Linked DNA regions of Drosophila melanogaster. The protein of the gene in region 2 interacts with the protein of the main gene of each other region in a pairwise test. Each region holds a gene or a part of one and is shown on either strand. Other genes may lie near its edges.

Evidence for each region. Proteins that work in one complex are often made in the same cells at the same time.
Region 1: the proteins of CG6891 (region 2) and CG13377 interact in a two-hybrid assay, tested with the Drosophila melanogaster proteins (one large-scale study listed by BioGRID).
Region 3: the proteins of CG6891 (region 2) and TwdlB interact in a two-hybrid assay, tested with the Drosophila melanogaster proteins (one large-scale study listed by BioGRID).

Annotation. Positions count from the first base shown.
Region 1 is NC_004354.4:257,990-265,871, forward strand, and holds CG13377 (uncharacterized protein), read right to left. Parts: upstream 6,011-7,882; 5' UTR 5,873-6,010; exon of another isoform or gene 5,679-5,872; intron 1,702-5,678; exon of another isoform or gene 1,683-1,701; 5' UTR 1,673-1,682; coding exon 904-1,672; exon of another isoform or gene 840-903; coding exon 616-839; 3' UTR 346-615; downstream 1-345. Other genes in the region: cin (cinnamon), read left to right, coding at 1-91, 153-296.
Region 2 is NC_004354.4:18,773,394-18,781,244, reverse strand, and holds the start of CG6891 (uncharacterized protein), read right to left. Parts: upstream 6,018-7,851; 5' UTR 5,667-6,017; coding exon 5,616-5,666; intron 4,748-5,615; exon of another isoform or gene 4,390-4,747; intron 1,613-4,389; exon of another isoform or gene 1,400-1,612; intron 565-1,399; coding exon 241-564; intron 168-240; coding exon 51-167; 3' UTR 1-50. Other genes in the region: CCKLR-17D3 (Cholecystokinin-like receptor at 17D3), read left to right, coding at 7,460-7,851.
Region 3 is NT_033777.3:26,621,941-26,625,482, reverse strand, and holds TwdlB (TweedleB), read left to right. Parts: upstream 1-1,939; 5' UTR 1,940-1,986; coding exon 1,987-2,001; intron 2,002-2,069; coding exon 2,070-2,915; 3' UTR 2,916-3,032; downstream 3,033-3,542. Other genes in the region: TwdlL (TweedleL), read left to right, coding at 1-802.

The DNA of each region.
Region 1 (7,882 bases), about 19 Mb from region 2:
TGACTTCAGCTTAGATAGCCGCCCGGAGTTCGTTCGGGCCTCCGTGATTTCGAAGTCTGGAGAGTTATACGCGAGCGTCAATGGAAATCAAGTAAGCCACTTTTCCTTAAATTAAACGACATATTATGACGGTTTTCCTGCGATTATTCTAGATTAGTAGTCGCTTGCAGAGCATTGTTGGTGCCGATGTTTTAATAAACCTTCCTGCACGTACTTCTGATCGACCATTGGCGAAAGCTGGTGAAATTTTCCCGGCCTCCGTGTTGCGCTTTGACTTTATCTCGAAGTACGAATAAGAACTACACAAACGTAAAATGTAAAACAAAGGTATAAATTCCAGAAGTTGGACAGACATATATAGACAGCACATATATTATCTTTATTTTTTTATGTATGATAACATTAAATATAACGTTCAACAATTACACCGTTAGCAGTGTGAGCAAAAACGATTAAAAAGTAAATATTATAAAAGCCCTCAGAACAGAAAAAAGAAACATCAATCGAAATATATTGTAAAAATATTAAATTAGGGAAAGGAGCAGGATCAGACGCGTTATACTAAATGGGATCAGGATCAGGAGCATATGTACAGGAAATGGAAGAAGACAAATTTTAAACCGACTGACTGGCGCTCTCGCCGACTGTTGAAGCTACCGGCCTCTGAAGTCGCAGCGAGGAGCGACATGGCAACGCAAATTGGTATTTGTTATGACTTAGAAGCGCATATCGCTGCTGCGGAACATAGTCCCACAACGCCCGCTCGATCACATGAAGAGCGTCCGGACTGAGCACGTCCGCTGTATACTGCGTAGGAGCCCCAACGACCAAGGACATGGCTGAAATAAATTACAAACATAAAATTATATATAATTGATTCCCAACGATGATGGAAAACATTACTTTGTGCCACTGGTGCCTTGTACAATGACTCCGCCGTCATGCCGCATGTATCCAAAGCGACCACACTGACGCCATAGGGATGCAGCTCCTTGCGCAGCTCTTCGGCACACTTGTCTACGGCAACGCGTGAGGCGTTAAAGGCAACCAGTCCATCACCTTCGTTTCGAGCATTTCCACCTCCACTTACTCCTCCCAAGTAAAGGAGTCTTCCACGTGTCGGACGGAGAAAACACACAAAGGCCTTGGCCACACGTAAGGTGCCCAGGATGTTGGTTCTGAGCATGTGTTCCCACTGCTGGACATTCTGCGATTCAACCTGGCCTCGGAAAACACTGCCACTAGTGTTAATTACGGCCGCAATACCGCGCTCATCTGCATTTAGATTAGCGCCTATAATAACGGTGGCCTCGCGAAGCACATCCTCTCGGGTGACATCCAATCTCATCGGAATAATTGTGCCTGCAATGGGTTCCTCACTGTACTCTCGGATCTTCATCCAACCGCAAAGAAGTTTGGCGGGTAGCGAATCTTGGGCCTCTTTCATTCCAGCAAAAACCCGATAACCCTTGTTAGCCAAATGGGTGCACAATTGAAGACCCAATGCGGTATCCGCACTGGTTATCAGGACCACCCGACTGGGATGACTATCCGCATTGGCAGATGCGCTATCCTCGCGCACCTTACAAATCAGGTAGATAAGCAGCGCGCCGGCGATCGAAAAAAGCGCAAGCAACTGGAAGCCCAACACCAGCATGGTCATTGCCTCCATTATGACATCGCTGGAATAGCAGAAAAAAGGTGAGATTAAAGGTGAACAATGTGGTAGAACTGAAAATGTAATTTGTTTTATACTGACTACAGATGATCTTTCTTACATTTACTCAGTCGGCAATCTTCATAAAAATATTTAAACCTAGCAAGAGTTTAACGTTATAGTGCATTTAATTGGTACATTTTAGAGGATTTGATTATATAGCCGAATTAAAAAAAGAAAGAAATTGTATATAAATAGCAAATAGTTAAGCAATCTGAAGTGCTATACAGTTGCAAATGTAACACGAACCTCAAAAGCTTTGGGGCATTATCGTAAAATGTTTAAGGTGTTCGGTTTTTACAACTGATGTTTCATTCGATGCGTTTTGAGCAAGATGTCAATGACATTTATCCCTACGACCTCGAACAGCTCTTATTATATATTAATATATATAATAAATTTTAGAATTTTTAATTTCACTTTCTCCTGAAGTCTTAATATGCAATCCTTTTTAGTTCTGCGGTGTCTCGTAGTGACCGAAGAATCGCAGTAGACTTGATGCAATATAATAATAAACAATAAGCAATATATAATAAACCCAATGCGTTTTAAACCTCTAAGAATATATATGAGATTGGGTATTTAAATATTAAGAACTTTATAAATGTTTTTTAATGAAACTATGTCTGGATCTAATCGACACTTTTTCATTTAGGCGAGAAGTTTAATAACCTTTTAGAGTTCGGTAACCAGAGATTGAATTTATATAGTCTGGGTATATTAAGATGTTAGGAAATTAAACATCAAGAAGTTTATAAAGGTTTGATAACGAAAATGTGTGTAACACGTATATATTTACTTTATTGGACACTTTCTCTTCCAAACGAGGAGTTTAATCACCCTCTAGAGTTGGGTAACCTGAGATTGCACTTGCAGTATATGAAGTGGATATACATACACGTATACATATGCATGTACATCTCAGTCTGACTCTTGAGCCTCAAATAACAACTTTACGCTTGTCTTGCACTATTTCCTCTCTTTTTATTTGTAATTATTTAATTATTGCACATTTTTCAACGCGTGTACAAAAATTCGGCCGATCTCTTGAAGAAATCGAAAATGTTCCAAGTGGGGTAACGGCATATAGATACATAGCTATCCAAGTATTTTTGGATCCATGGACACGTCAAACGAACGTGTCCAGCGAGGCGTACCCAACCATTTGGAAGTAAGCTATGACTACGTTTTCTCGACTTTCCACTTCTGATGAGGAAAATGAAGGAAGGATGGGGTCTGGTATGTGCGTTTTACAGACAGGGGATGAACCGAACTGAGAGTTTGTGCCCATACTACTCTAGTTGAAGAGCTATGACAAGTCTTTTTAACCCAATTACACAGCAAATAAATAGTTCCAGTCGGTATCAGTTTACGCCGCTTGAAGTTTTGATATTTGATTTTTGATCATTATTAAAAAAAATTTATTGGTGATCAAATAATTCTTCGAGGTAAATTATGAAAATTAAAGGCATAATGACAGTTTTATCTTTTGCTTGAACTAGCTGTTAAATTTACATACTCTGACTGCTTCACCGTTTTCCTTCATTGTTAAGCTGAAAGAAATTTGTTGACGCTCGGAAATGGGCTTGCCATATCTGCAGCATTTCGGGCTTACTCGCGGAATTTATGTGTAGGATAAACGTAATGTACGCTGATTTTGGTCAAACTACCGATACAGTGATACTGCAACCGCAACCGGCTAGGTAATAAAACAAACAAACGGCTTAAAAAACAAAAGCATTATGGCAATCAAACAATACGAGGAAATTGGAAAAACTTAGTGAGAAGATTTAACGAATTTAATTTATTTAATTTTTAGTTAAGAATTATATTTACAAGATTTCGTATCTGAGCTAAGATGTGAAGTACATTACTTTCATTGTTCTATATACATATTGTATGAATCTATCGTGTTTGGCCACGATTTAACATACCCACTGCAATGAATTAAAAATCTTTGCAAGACTTTTCTTTTTAGTTCTTTGTTTTTGATTAAGTTTACGGCGTTGCCATTCTATTGAAGTTCACAACCAGCACTTTTTTATTATATTCCGCTTGTTTTCAAGTTCAGATGTAAGATAGTGGCGATTGTTGATGTTGCTATTCCCCATTAAGATTAGATCATCGGCTTCCAGTCAAGTGAGCTAAGCACGGGCGTGATGGCACTTTACTCCGAGAATTTGGGATCGGATGACATCATTATTGCGACCCATCAATATGTGGTTACATTTCGTGGGAGTAGTAAAAGGAAACCTATAAATGATAATCTACCATCGCTTTCGACCGAATTGTTCCCTTGGCTAGGATAAAATGAGTTCAATCAAAGGGTTTCTATGCAAGGAAGAAAGTATTTGATGATAACGTATAAAGTATGTATAGATAATTTTTGTTAGCATGACAATTCCAGTTTATATAGCTTTGTGTATAAGTCTTTCTTTTTAAAGATATTTCATTTTTATATCTTGCAAATATTTATATCTTGCTACGACGAGGTTGTGTAAAAAGTTGTTTCGATGTATAAAACCTTTGTATTTTTGTTTGCAAACCAATTATTGATTCATAAGCAAATTCGGATATCGTGTGTGTGTCATGTATAATTGCACTTTATTTTAAATTTAGATGTCTACTCTTGTTGGCCCAAAAATCGAAAATAAAATCTTAAAAAATGCTTTGCGTTGCAGCTGAACAACTTCACGCTCCATTCAGCATTAAAATTGCTTTGTGCCACTTTCAAAGCTATTTCTATTTCAACAAAGTCAATTGCTTCTCTGAAATGTTTTTTTTTTTTATTATTTCTTATTTTCTATTTGCAACCATTTGGAATGCCTTCTATGCACTTTTAAGCTTTTTTCTTGTTGGAAACATACACGAAATCAGATGGGACTTAATCAATTGATGCTTAAGGGCTTACACGTATATAACTGTAAACATCTTTGTTTCTGCGGGAAGGCCCCAAAAGTCAAGGATATCTTACATCAAATGGATAGGCACAGAACGGTTGGAAACGATAATAAAATAGAGACAGACAGATTAACAAATTCTGCTGACTTAACCATCAGTGGCAGTCAATTCGAAAAAATAAAAAAAAAGTTCAGTGTAATCGCGAACATTTAGGACGTTGTCATCAAACTTTCCTTTCCTAGTGTTTCCACTTTATAATTGAGGTTTTTTGATGGTTGATCTGCGTATGCTTCGGGAATTTTAATCATATGTCTCTGTTTGGACATGCCTAATAATTTTTTGTTGCGTATACGCCGTTTCCATGCAACTGACAAAGAATCCACAACGAAATATCTATACACTTTCGAAAAATATTTTTATTATATAGAAATATATCTGCATTTGCTTTGCAGTCATGGCACTCGTCTATAGCCTGTGTTTTCATTTTTTTTTTTTTTTATGTCAGAAGAGTGTGGTGTTGAACATAATTTTGGTCGAATTTAGTTAATGGTTTACCTTTATCATATCTGTACTGTTAAATCTGTTTAAAAACAAGCTCTGAAATAGAGTTAAAAATACTTAAGAAAACGGGCTCTGAACCAAAGAAACACATTCTCAAAAAGCGTAGCAACGGTTAATTTTTTTCGGTACTCAGTTAATAAATGCATCCAAATTTAAAAGTGAACCTGTCTGAATCTTAAATGATTTGAGCAACAGGATCAACAATCTTGTGTGCGAGCTTGTGGAAGAGCTATTCCAGAACCGGTTTCCCCATATCAGAACTTGTTGCTTTTTGCATTCAAGCCATTGCTTGCCATGATTTAATAATTATATCTGGCGCATTATTGTTTCTGTTGCCAAGATAAAATCGGAATGCAAAGCTAAACACGCTTTAGCTAGTGTGGAAAAATCTGCAGTTGAAGCCAAGATAAAATCGGAATACAAAGCGGGGAATGTGGGGGATCGTGCCGTCGTCATTCGAAGGCCCAGCTTTTGGCCCTAAGACACGTTTGGAGCTCACCTTTTGGAATGTGTCTAATTAAAGTTAAAACCTGGTTGGCTAAAAGAATTACACTTAGACAAAACTTTATTATAGAAACAAAAAAAAAAAAAAAAGTATATTTTCCAACGCGACGCGAATATATACTTGATAATTCACTTTAAATTCACTATAATGTCTTGAATTTTGTTTTTTGATTTATTTATTTTACACACAGTCTGCCAGGCCCAGGCCTGATTGAGTGCGACAGAGAGAGAGTTATGCTACTTATTATTTGTTGTTTTCAACTCTCGAGTCTGCGATATTTTTCCGCACTGCGACTTTATTGACTGAGTTTGAACTGAAGACTGGTGGCTTGAATTTCGGGTTTGCTTAACCGAACAAAAATAGCCGAAGACCAGGCGTCGTAGACGAAGTCTTTCGGCCCCATCACGTAGAGTCGTGCCCCCCACCTTTTGTAAAGGCCTTCTTTAAAACTCGCTTTGTGATCGTGTGTTAGGTGAACAAATGTCAAGCGATAGCTGGTGATCCTTAACTGGTTTTAAAGTTTTTGGGGTCCGGAGACATGAATATGAATAATCTTCCCGAACCACTATATTACATACCACATTTTGAAGGCTCACAACCTGTCCAGTGCCTGACAAATATGGGTGCCTTTTTTAGCGCACAATAACTTTTACGAATGTAAGAGTATCATGATTCCGGCGATTAAGTCCCTTGTGGAAATATTGAAATTTCGCTGGTAATTGCAGTGTTAAGTGCCAAATGGTTGAGCTGGATATATGAATATAGACTGGAAGCAAAATCGGCCGAGTTTTTCCGCTCAATTTTGCACTAAGGAAAACCTGAAACACAAGAAAAATTGCCAGCTTGAAAGAAAAGGGGGTAAGAAGCGGTTTGGTTCCAACTGCAATTGGCCAAGTCGACCGAAAACCTGTTGATGGTTTAAGAGAAATATCAATTAAAGCCTATACAGAACATGTACAAGAAGCGAAAATTGAGGCAGCCAATATTATTTTGTTGATGAAAAGGTAAACATTCGGTGCGTTTAGTGAATTTCTCTCTGAAATTTTGGTCAGTAAAAGGAGTTACCATATTGGTTCAACGCTTAAGAAAAAACGCGAAACGAGTTTTTCCAGTAGAAGTCGGTGGAATCTGGCTCTTCTGCCGCCGTTCGCTTAAAGACAAAGTGTCAAAAATTATATAAAGTTTAGCCTATCCACTTTTTAAATTAAAAAGGCTTTACTTGCTTTACGCGTTTCTCGACACCCGTTAGCTTGGCACCTGTTTTGGAATGTCATCCTTTGGTAGTTTCTATTTTTCACAGATCTTAGTTTGTATTCGAAAAACATAAAATAGGTATGGGGACAGTTAGCTAGTTTTATAAACAGCAGTCTTCAAAATACCTGTGATACAATTTTTTGTCGCAGCTATGGAGACAACATTTTTATCTTGCTCTTTTTTTTTGGCAAACAACAATCTGTAGTCCTAATTTTGCCGGTGAATCTTTTTTGGCCAAGTTATGAAAAAAAAACCCGTTTGTAAATATCCGATTTTTGCAAATTTTTATTTTGTTTATTTTTGGCAATTTTTATTTTGTTTATTTTTGGTAAAAAGTAATCAGTATTTTCTCAATAGCATTAAAAACAGCTGTCAAAGAGTTAAATGTCAACCTCATTGAATTCGTAGCAAAATTCCCTATCGTCCTGTATGAAGAAATAAAAATTAATTTTTTTTTTCCCATTTTTCGCAAATTTTAATGATAGGGATAGTTAGCTATGTTTATTGGCAGTACGAAATAGTATTTATTTAAGCGGTTATATCTTATAATAGCTGTCCAAGAGTTTAATAATATAATAATAATGAAAATAGTGATAGGGATAGTTAGCTATGTTTATTGGCAGTACGAAACAGACTGCATATTAGCGGTGATATCTGTTTTGGCCATGTTATGAACTAACCCCTGATAAATCTATAAAAATAGTTGTCTAACATTTGAATACATAACTTGCTTAATTTTATAGTAAATTCACTATTCACCTGTATTCAACAGAAAATGTTTCCATACAGAATGTACAGAATGAAAAACTTACAATTTCTCCTCTATGTTGTTTTCAAAAGTTTTGCCAAAAAATACAATTTCATTACTCATTCAGGCGATTTTGTGCCATAAAAATTTAATTTCGGTTTAAATTACCAGGCGAACAGGAGTTCCAGAACGTAAT
Region 2 (7,851 bases):
AGTTAAGAGTTGCAAAAAAAAATGTATATGTAAAGTAACTTGGAGGCCGCTTAGTTATCCCGGATGCCCGTTCCGTAGTTGGCGCCGCCGGCACGGTTCAGTGCTTCACGGAAGAGCTCAATGTCCAGCTCGGCCTCCACTCCCGCCTGAAGTTCCACGGCAAAATTCTGCAAGAGATTAGAGATGAGAGGATCTATTTCTGCCTCTGGGCTCTGGCATCTCTAGCTATTGGCTACTCACGTTGAGGACATCCTTGATCAGCGCCTTGTCCGTGGACATCTTGGCCCTCTGGATGACGCCCACCTCCTGCCCGATCCACGTCAGGAAGATGAACTTTTTGCGCTTGGACATCTCGTCACCCATCTGGATGCGTATGTAGCCAAAGGCGCGCTCCGAGTCGCCGAACTGCTGTCGGAATTCCTCAAAGCACTGACCGCGCGCATGTACAATAATCTGGGCGCCATCGAACTTGAATACCGCCCACTCGGTGTCTGTCAGATCGGAGCGTACATCCTCGTAGGCCTCGCGAATCGAGTCCTTCTCCAGCGACGTGGCCAGCGGCATCTGCGAAAGAGCAAGGGGGAAGAGGATTATAAGCAAGCGAAGAGGGGAACTATAAGCAACTTTCAGACGGAAGTATATATCTTAATCATGTATTCCAAGTCCGAATCGTTTCGCCAAGGCGAATGGATCATCCGCTTTGGCCCATCGATAGCGAAATGTATTGTATGTACTCAATGCGGGGCCAAGTACTCTTGACGGCGCCATCTATGAGTCAGATTTAAGCGGTGCTTTCGCTTTCGATGGTTATATTACATTCAATTCGACTTGTTTCCGTGTCAGGCAACCTCAAGTCGGCCAGGGGAATAGGCACGCCATTGCATCGCCCACTTGCATTACGTTCGGGCAGATTCACGGAAAGCAATTTGTTGCCGCTTTAGTGCTTTATAAACATAATACCAGCGGGCCAGCGGAAAAGTAGCCAATGTAAATATGTACATATTTCGAAGAAAAAATAAAGGCTTTATTATGATAACATACTGGAACATACCCGCATATTAAATTACAGCATTTTTGATAATGATATCAGCACACACATATGAGGGTTCAGGGTTCTGGTTCAAAGCCCAAAAATATGATGATTTAAAAATATCGATATGTAAATGAATTTAAATTGCTTGATAAGTTCGAATGGCTTGATAGTGAAATGTAAAAAACCAAGTCTCAATACGATTTTGGTTAGCTAAAGATTAATTTTAATTGTGGTTTATTAAGTGATCTTTGGGGTAGCATTATGTGCACAAAGTTAGGCTCAGCTTAGATGCGTGGAAAGCGTGTAAAGCGATTGGATCGATGGTTTTTGATACGAGTATACTTGTAGTACGGATCGGAAAACTACCCTTTCACGTAGTGCACTCTTATTGTCTTAAGCGGATCGCCGCATTAAAATCAATTTACGCGTGACAATTTTCAATCAGCAGCCGGCGGAAAGCAGGTCAGAGATTTGATAAGTGACTTGGGGTCGTCGGAACGGGATGACAACAAACAAAGAGAGCCAAATGACTGTTGGTCCAACTGCCAGCCAAATGGATCGGGCTTGGAGTCAGGAACTAGACTCGCGTATAAATAGACATTGAAGCTGGGCCAGAGATACGGATACAGATACAGCTAAAGGTACAAATACAGATACAGATACAGATACCGATGGGAAGATGGAGATAGAGATCGCTCTATAATGCGTTCAATGACCGGAGAGTACGGCGTCTGGTGAGAAAAATCAATTAGAAAAGCGACGACTGTCGAAAATATCAAAAGCCAAACAATTAAACCCAAAGATGTTTCGGGCGACGACTTTCACAACGCGACGCAGTAAGAACTTGGAGTTTGTATGTGTATTCTATGCGTCGCATAGAACTATGGAACAGCTCTGAATCTCCCGTTTCGTGGCTCTGAATTAATTAGTCGGAAGGCAGGCAAAAAAAAAAAAAAAATGAACAAGATGCGGACGCAAACTGTGCCAAAAATGAGCGGACGACTAAGAAACCGTTGCAGCGAATGACCCACCGAAAATACCCGACAAATTTTCCCCCAAACAAGCAAGATAGCAGATACAAATGTATATAGAAATGTCGGTGCTCCTCCTGCAACCTCCACGGGTACGTGAGCCAAATTGTTGGCTAAAATTAGCTGAAATTAAGTTTCCAGCCGATAAGCCCGATAACGTTCGCACATATGTATCTATATACATATATATGCCTATATGGCCATATCTCCACTTCTGACACAATGACAACACGACAAATTAGATCACTCCAGTTGGGCTGGGAGTGCACCCAAAGATCGGATAGGATAGGCTCGGATAGCCCCACCTCCGGAATTGACGCAATGCCATCTATTTGCTCTGATAAGAAAACTGTCGCAAAACTAAAGGAACTGTAATTGATTTATTACCGAAAGTTCTTGGGATCGCCCGGGCAATTAGTGCCGGTTAAATCTGTAGGGCTCGCCTGTTCCAATTTTACACGCCATAAAAATTCAGCAGAGATTGACGCTTAGTCATAGGAATCGAGATATTGCGCTGGCTTCAGGAAATATATCGAAAAAAGGGAAACTACAATAGTTTCAAGGAAAGTCAGAGTGCGTCATCCTCGAAAGATTCGCATAGAAAAGCGAGCGACAGTAGCCAGTCCATAATTGATACGGTTAATCGTGATTCGTGATTCTCGATGGAAAACAGTGAGCAACAGTCTGATAAGTAACCTTGTAGCGATGACAGGAAATGTATATGCATACATATTTTCAGTTTCACTTGGAACCACCAATAATCCTAACAGATCCATTGAGTTAGCCACCTTTCCAGCAGGAAAGCCATCTGCCAAACAATTCGCGCTACTCAAATGGCTTGCGGCCATATCCGATAGATAGATGTACATATGTATTATATCTATCTATATATGTGGATTCGTACGTAATGAGCCATATATGCCCATGTGTGCATTCATACAGCACGCTGCATTGCCAGCTAGATATATGTAGCTATAGTATCTATAGCTATATCCATCGATATCTGGCAATGAGCGGGCCGGCGATGCATCAAACGCGGCTATAACTGCAGCTAAACGTAACCAAGCATAATACAGCAAATAACAATTTGCTAACGAAAACGAAACCGAATCCCCAGCGCCAGGTGCTTGAAACTGACTTGCTGCGTAACTCAACGCTGATACCCTTGTGAAAGGTATCGCAGTTGTAGAAATTCTTGGGATACCTTTAAAATAAACATCTATGAGAACGTATTGTATGTAAATAATCCTGTCCTTAAGTAAACAGCAAGCTATCGAGAACTACAGAGTGAATGGTATTATATCCGTATCTTTTATCATTCGATGCCTGGTATACACCACTGACATTATTTCAAGTTAACTCTGTTTGTATAGTTTATATATCTAATTGTATGGTATATATAGATCGTGAGCTCATAAAGCAAATACTGAAGTATGAACAATAAAAGTTAGAGTATTCACTTTCGATTGCACTAAACATTTTGTATTTTATTCGCTTTTTCATTGTGTATGTACAAGTGGACCGAAAGTGTTTTATGTTGACTAATGAATTTCAGATAAGAAACGAAAAAAATTCCAAATAATACGATCGGGCATGAATAAAGGAAAATAAAGGAGAGGCGATGCAGATATATATATGACATACATGCACAGTGAAAACACAATATGCGGAATATTCGTGGGTCGATGCAACTGACTCATTGGCAAGGCAATTGGAAAATAACCAATAAATTGCAGCGAATCGGTTATTAACCGCTTCGCCTTGGCCAGACTAAGTCCAAAAAAAAAAAAAAAATAAATAAAACAAGCAAAAAAAATAATTGGCAATGTTGTGACAAATTGCCAGTTGCCGCAGCGCAGTCGCAATGACGTACTTGCTCCGGGTCTGGGACCGCCGATATGTCAATGTTCTTTTTCCCCCACTTTACTTTACTTTATTTCATTTCATTTTATTTCTTATTTTTATTCCGCTGCCGTCGATGTTTCATTCGCCACGCACACTAGCACAAACAGTGCAGGAAACAAAGGAGCAAACTGTTTTGTGGCTGCTCACGCCCCAGACGCCCGGAGTCGGGGGATCTGGGATGCCGGATGGGGTTGTGGATGGTCATTCTGATGGGTACGGGGTATCGGTATGGGGTACGGGTTGCGGGTTGCGGGAAACGAGGTTCCGAGTGCGTGATTCATGCCGCCTGAAGGTGACGACGACGACGACGACTCGGGGAGTGGATGACCAAAATTGGCGCGTCAGGAAGCGATTCCCGAGCATTGAAAGGGTGTGGAATGGCCGATATCCCCATCGATTCCATACACTTTTATTACTCACTTGTTTGCCTGCACTTGGAAACCTCGAAATTGTAATATTTATTGGCCTGCACAATCGTTTTGTTTGATGCCATAGAGATTAGGTTGGCGAACAAGTGCTGTGCACCAAAAGTCACATGAAACGCAGATCTTGCGATCAGCTGAACGAAGTACCCGCAAGATAATGGCACTGCAACCATTTACCCAGCTCCCAGTGCCCGCTAAATACCGTAATCTGGAAAGCTATACGTGTTTGCCAGGGCGACGGACTGCGCCGCATTAACCGCAGCGTCTTCGTTGGGTATCGATGGTGTCTCGAGATCCCAGCGAGCAAGTGCAGCAGCGGCAGCCGCACTGCAAACGCACTTGAACTTGATATGCATCGCTGCGAAGGCGTCGCATTCGGATTCAGTTTTTGGGTTCGGATTCGGATTCGGAGTCGCCCCCACAATCTGCATCCGCCCCCGCAATCGCATCCAGCCAAGATGATATTGCCCCTCGGTACTCAGTCCCTGTTCCTGCCCTGCCCTGCCCCTTTCCGCCCAGCCAGCCAGAGCCATAAAACCCAGCTGCCACCCCGCCTCCTGGACCTCTGGCCCTCTGGGGCCGGTTCTTGTGGAGCGGAGTCGCCGGCGAGCCAATGTCAGAGTTATTTACAGACACTCACGCATGCCCAGCGATATACACACACGCCGCATGGGCCTGGGCTTCAGCAACTCCAGTGTGTACACCGGAAGAAAACTGTATTTTGTATCCTTAAAGCCAATGTCCGAGTTCAATACCACTGTTGGTAATTGAATTTTTATATTATTGTATATTTCTACTAATCCCCAATATTTTTCAATATATATTTGAACAATTTAAAGTTCGAAAATCGATCATTATTCTCAAGAGAATATTATTTTTTTTTAGCATTCTTTAATTGTAGGTATTTATAATGTAGTGGTGATTAGAACTTTCTTCCATTTTAAGGTTGTGCCATCGGATTGGCTCAGCCTTAAAAGTGATCAGCATACTGAGTACCCGTTTTCTTTCGGTGCATTTATAAGATATCTCTCCGGCCTGCTCTCTGACTCTCTGGACTTCTGGCTGCCCCATCCAATCTTTTATAATTCTTAATTTTCGGTCGTCCCCTGCCGGTATACACACACATTTCATGGTCCCTGCCCGGAGCAGGACTACCGACTCCATCCATCTCCAACTCCAACTCGAACTCCATGTGTGCCCAACCCACTCCCCACTACTCACCCTTCTCGGCTTGCTCTCCACCAATTGCTCGACCTCGATGCCGTCCGACATGCTGGTGCGCTGTGTTCTGGATGTGGATGTAGATATGGTTTTCAATGCGCAGCTGGGATGCTGGTGCTCTTGGGAACAGCTTCCTGGGATCGCGGGTGAGTCTCGAAGGGGAACGGAGTGCTGGTCTGGCGGGAAGAGTTGACCGTTTGCAAGGTGACAAAGTGGCAGAGTGGCAGAGTGGCACAATGACAACGAAAACAAAAATACACAGCGCCAGAAAAACAACAAAAAAACACAATCCAAGCGCACAAAGAGCGATGGACAGAACCAGCACAGTTCCAGATATCCAGATATTAGAGCAGCCGCTGAACTTCGTCCGACCACCACGAGTTGTATCTCACGAATGCGGCGTTGCCGGCGTCTGCAACTCCGAATGAAGTGCCGACCGTCGACCGCCGAAGTCGGCGGCGCAGTCGCCGTGCGTGCGAGCGAGATGCACTGGCCAGAAGGCCCCACGGCAGCTGTTAGACAAACAGCAGGTGCGACAGAGACGGCTGCGTGGGGAGCAAGCGAGAGCGGGCGAACTGCGACGATGTCGCCGCATTTGGCTTTATTTTCATTTTCATTTTCAGTGCAGGCATTTCGGAAACACCAAAAAAAGCCAGATGTTGGCTAGTGTTTTATGCGTACACCGCGAGAAAATTTAGTCTGCTAGATGCTCCTATAATGATAATGAAGTTTGCATAAATACTTCGTGTTAGCCATCTTAACTGGCAATGGCCACAGGAAACCATAACATCGTGCGCAAATATATGTATAGTCAGATGGATAGAAAAACAACGACTGTACTCCTCCATCTAAACTATGTACGTCCTTAAGGATCAGCTGAATCCCTTGAAGAAGATCTCTTCCTCGATGGTGAAGAGGCTTACGAGAAGTGAATTCTATCTATTCTATCAAAACATGAATTTATTGGATTTATTGGGTTTCTTCGGCAACACGGATTCCTGGCATAGTCATATCCAGTATCCCAGTGGAGTCACGTCTTACCACTGCAGCTCCCGGTCATGTTATTTTCCTTCATCGAGGGCTATTCCATTCACTTCCTGCGCCGAAAAAACGAGCAACAATTGCAAGCGAAAAGGTAGTCTTTGAAATAGATGCTATAGGTGCTAATCGGAATCGCTATATATCCAAAACTATGTCTAGATCAGCACTGATCCCTGCCAGCTTGTCGGCTGGGAATGCGATCCGTGGAATTAGCGCAGAACATTTGTGCAAACACATAACGAGCCGAGATTGTATTCTCTGGCACTCAAGTGCCGTAGGAATGCGGCTGATTTGATGATTAGCGCGGTGCGTGGGCCGAACAGCAGCTGCTCCGCCGCTGCAGACGCCATGGATGATGCAGTGCACCGTATTAATTTGTCCCAATCGGCAGGGAACGTCCTCCGCGCAACATGGGAGTTGCCCGGCAACAGGGCTGCCTGGCAGCATGCTGCTAGCCACAAGTTGCCGTGGTGAGTTTGCGCCATTCGGCATCGCCCACGCAACATGTTGCGGCAGCTAGCCCAGCGGAGCGGAGGCGTCGTCCTCGTCCGCCAGTCGTCAGTTGCCCACGACGCGTTACCCGCAACGGTAGCAGGCGAGCCCTCTCCTGGCAGCCAAAGCCGCCAGCTCGTGTGCTCGGATACCCCCGAGTTCCATATCGCAATCTTTGCCAGCCTGCGCGCAAGCGTCGCCGTTTCAATAGCAATTGAGTGAAATTTTATTTTATTTTTTTCGGTGACCCGCAACGGGACATGTCAGGCGGTGGTGGCCAGTGATTGCCACGAATCACCCGGTCATCCGGGATGTTCAACTACGAGGAGGGGGATGCCGACCAGGCGGCCATGGCTGCAGCGGCTGCCTATAGGGCACTGCTCGACTACTATGCCAATGCGCCAAGTGCGGCGGGTCACATAGTGTCGCTCAACGTGGCACCCTACAATGGAACTGGAAACGGAGGCACTGTCTCCTTGGCGGGCAATGCGACAAGCAGCTATGGCGATGATGATAGGGATGGCTATATGGACACCGAGCCCAGTGACCTGGTCACCGAACTGGCCTTCTCCCTGGGCACCAGTTCAAGTCCAAGTCCCAGTTCCACACCCGCTTCCAGCTCCAGTACTTCCACTGGCATGCCCGTCTGGCTGATACCCAGCTATAGCATGATTCTGCTGTTCGCCGTGCTGGGCAACCTGCT
Region 3 (3,542 bases), on a different chromosome or scaffold from region 2:
CTACAACTACCAGCCCGTGGGACACTCCAGCTCCGGACTGTCCTTTGCTCCTGGAAGTGGCAGCATTGGAGGTGGATCCATTGGAGGTGGTTCGATTGGAGGAGGCTCCATTGGAGGAGGATCCATTGGAGGAGGCCTCATTGGTGGTGGCTCTATCGGAGGCGGTTCCATTGGAGGTGGTTCCCTTGGTGGTTCCATCGGTGGTGGCTCTATTGATTCCGGTCTTGGCGGTCTTGGTGGACTCGGTGGTCTAGGAGGTGGCGACGCTCTGGCCGCTCCAGTCTCCTACAACGCCCCCGCTCCCGCTGCTGAGCTCCAGAAGGAGTTCTTCACCTACTCCGCCAACGAGCAGGACTTCGATGAGCCACAAGAACTGGAGCGTGTTGCTGGATCCGTAAACAAGGGACTGCGCGTTGTCTTCATCAAGGGACCCGAGAACCGTGGTCTGGAGAACGCTGCCCTAGCCCTCGCCAAGCAGGCTGCCCAGCAGGAGACCGCCATCTATGTCCTGAACAAGCAGGCCGATATTGGAGATCTTGCCCAGAAACTGAACGCCATCCGCAACAACAATAACAACAAGCCCGAGGTGCACTTCGTCAAGTACCGCACTCCCGAGGATGCTGCCAACGCCCAGCGCGCCATCCAGTCGCAGTACGACCAATTGGGAGGATCCTCTCAGGCCCACAACGGTGGTGTGGCACCCGCCCTGAACTTCGCCTCCGCTGGTCCCGTCCAGAAGGCTAATGCTCAGATCCCTGAGAACGCTTACCTGCCCACTTCCATCTTCCGTCGTCGTTTGTAAATATTTTAACGACTTCGAGATGAAGGCGTTGACTGTTCTTGTTAAATCTTATTGTTGAAATCTATTGATAAATAATATACAAAAATCTGAATACAAACATTCTATGATATTTTATATTGGATGGTGGTGTAGTAAACAATAGTGTATACCTTCCGATGACAACATGAGTGGAGTTACAAGTTGGGCTTTTAGAAAATTATTTCAGTCTTTGGTGAGATTTTTCGACCTGTTTTTATTGCACAAAAAGTTTGGTAATGACTTTTAATTTGAATTTATTCTTAAAAAGGTGCAACGCTATTAACTTAATACAAAGCAAAAGACCTTTAAAACTCATTAAGAATTTGGTAAGCTATATTACCCAAGGCAGCTTCCCGATGACCTTGACGTTTAATATTTGTCATAACCAAAATATTATCCTACGAAGTACTGGGAAAAGAATAAAATAAAATATTTCCGCATATTTTAAATGTAGGCAAAATGTTTTTACGACAAAAAAGTTAAATTAAATATAAACATATCGTTTTCACCACTCTCAAGTTAAATTTTTTATTTCATTAGTAATATATGCGAAAATAAAGAATCAATGAACTGGGGGCGGCATTTCAAACATCTCATTAGACGACTTGCTAAATTTAGCGCTTGCATCATGTCCATAAATCAGAACTAAACAGATGTGTCGAAAACGATTATAATGACTAAACGATTGTCATTCAGTCGGAAAAACCAAGTGCAGATGTCCTACATAAAACAAGCTTTTAGCCTTGCCGAAGAATTTGTCAAAAAAATGTATTTTATATAATACTCGTACCTAATTATGACCCATCTGCATGTTAAACTCATTCCGACGTGCTCGCGACATATTAATTTTATAATTCAATATGAATTCTTGTAAACTATTGGACGAAACTCGAAATATTTGAATAACCCACGACGGCCAGACTCTGCCCATTGAAACGCAACCAAAAAATTCCACACCGAACATTAAAAAAAACAGAGGAAGCAAAAACCTTTGTAGGCGGCAAAACACAGTGGCTTCAAAGAAATCTCCGTGCAGCAGACGCCGCGGCGGTATCTTTGTCTTTATCAGCCTCCAAGATGGATTTGTATAAATAATAAAGATCGCTCCTAGCCAGAGACACAAGCAACTCATACCTCAAAGCAAAAGAACCAGCAATCTGCTTAAGATGCGCGCATTCATTGTAAGTAGCGCGGTTAAGGATTCAAAGGATTATACGCCAGGATAACACTTCTCTTTTCATGCCTCCAGGTCCTGTGTTTGGTGGCAGTCACCTGCGCCGATAAGCTCGGCTACAACTACCAGCCCGTTGGCCACTCCAGCTCCGGACTGTCCTTCGCTCCTGGCAGCGGCTCTATCAGTGGTGGATCTATTGGAGGAGGCTCCATCGGAGGAGGTTCTATTGGAGGAGGCTCTATTGGAGGAGGCCTCATTGGTGGTGGCTCTATCGGAGGAGGAAGCATCGGAGGTGGATCCCTTGGTGGTTCCATCGGTGGTGGCTCCATCGATTCCGGTCTTGGCGGTCTTGGTGGACTCGGTGGTCTAGGAGGTGGCGACGCTCTGGCCGCTCCAGTCTCCTACAACGCCCCCGCTCCCGCTGCTGAGCTCCAGAAGGAATTCTTCACCTACTCCGCCAACGAGCAGGACTTCGATGAGCCACAAGAACTGGAGCGTGTTGCTGGATCCGTAAACAAGGGACTGCGCGTTGTCTTCATCAAGGGACCCGAGAACCGTGGTCTGGAGAACGCTGCCCTGGCCCTCGCCAAGCAGGCTGCCCAGCAGGAGACCGCCATCTATGTCCTGAACAAGCAGGCTGATATTGGAGATCTTGCCCAGAAACTGAACGCCATCCGCAACAACAACAACAACAAGCCCGAGGTGCACTTCGTCAAGTACCGCACTCCCGAGGATGCTGCCAACGCCCAGCGCGCCATCCAGGGTCAGTACGACCAGCTGGGAGGATCCTCTCAGGCTCATGATGGTGGTGTTGCACCCGCCCTGAACTTCGCCTCCGCTGGACCCGTCCAGAAGGCTAACGCCCAGATCCCCGACAACGCCTACCTGCCCACTTCTGTGTTCCGTCGTCTGCGTTTCTAGGAAGGCTACATCTTGGACTCCATTAACTTAAGCAAATCTCGACTGAAGAACTCATTCTTCCTGTTACACGTTGTTGACTAATGCATAATTACACCAATAAATTTGAAATTTAAATACGAAAATTTAAACAAAGGTCTACCTTATGTGTTTTATAGAGTGAGATTTTTATTGCGGCTTGGCCATAGTAGCTAATGGTGCATTAAGTCCGCCTTGTTTGGCTTGATTGTTTGCGGATGGGTTAAGTATAAAAAGTGCCCTTCAAACTATAAATATCTCGAATTGACGACATCAAGATCAGGAAAGGCAGTTCGGAGCAGGTTTCCTTTATGAGTTTAAGCCCTCGTCGAATCATATTCACCTAGACTTTCCATACAAATCAATGGACTAATTATCTGACATAGCCAACTCGCATGCCGCCAAATTAATTGACTACAAGATTAGATCCACCCACTTGGCCAGCGGGAAGCATTAATACCGGACTCCCGGCCAACGAGGAACTGGTTCTTTCCCGACGACAGCTCAAGGTCGCGAAGATGCCAACAACTGTTAGATGACCTGGTTTCCGAGGCCCGTCGTGTGTCACGTACAATTAGAAAGGAATCTCAAGTGCAACCCACATACGAAGGC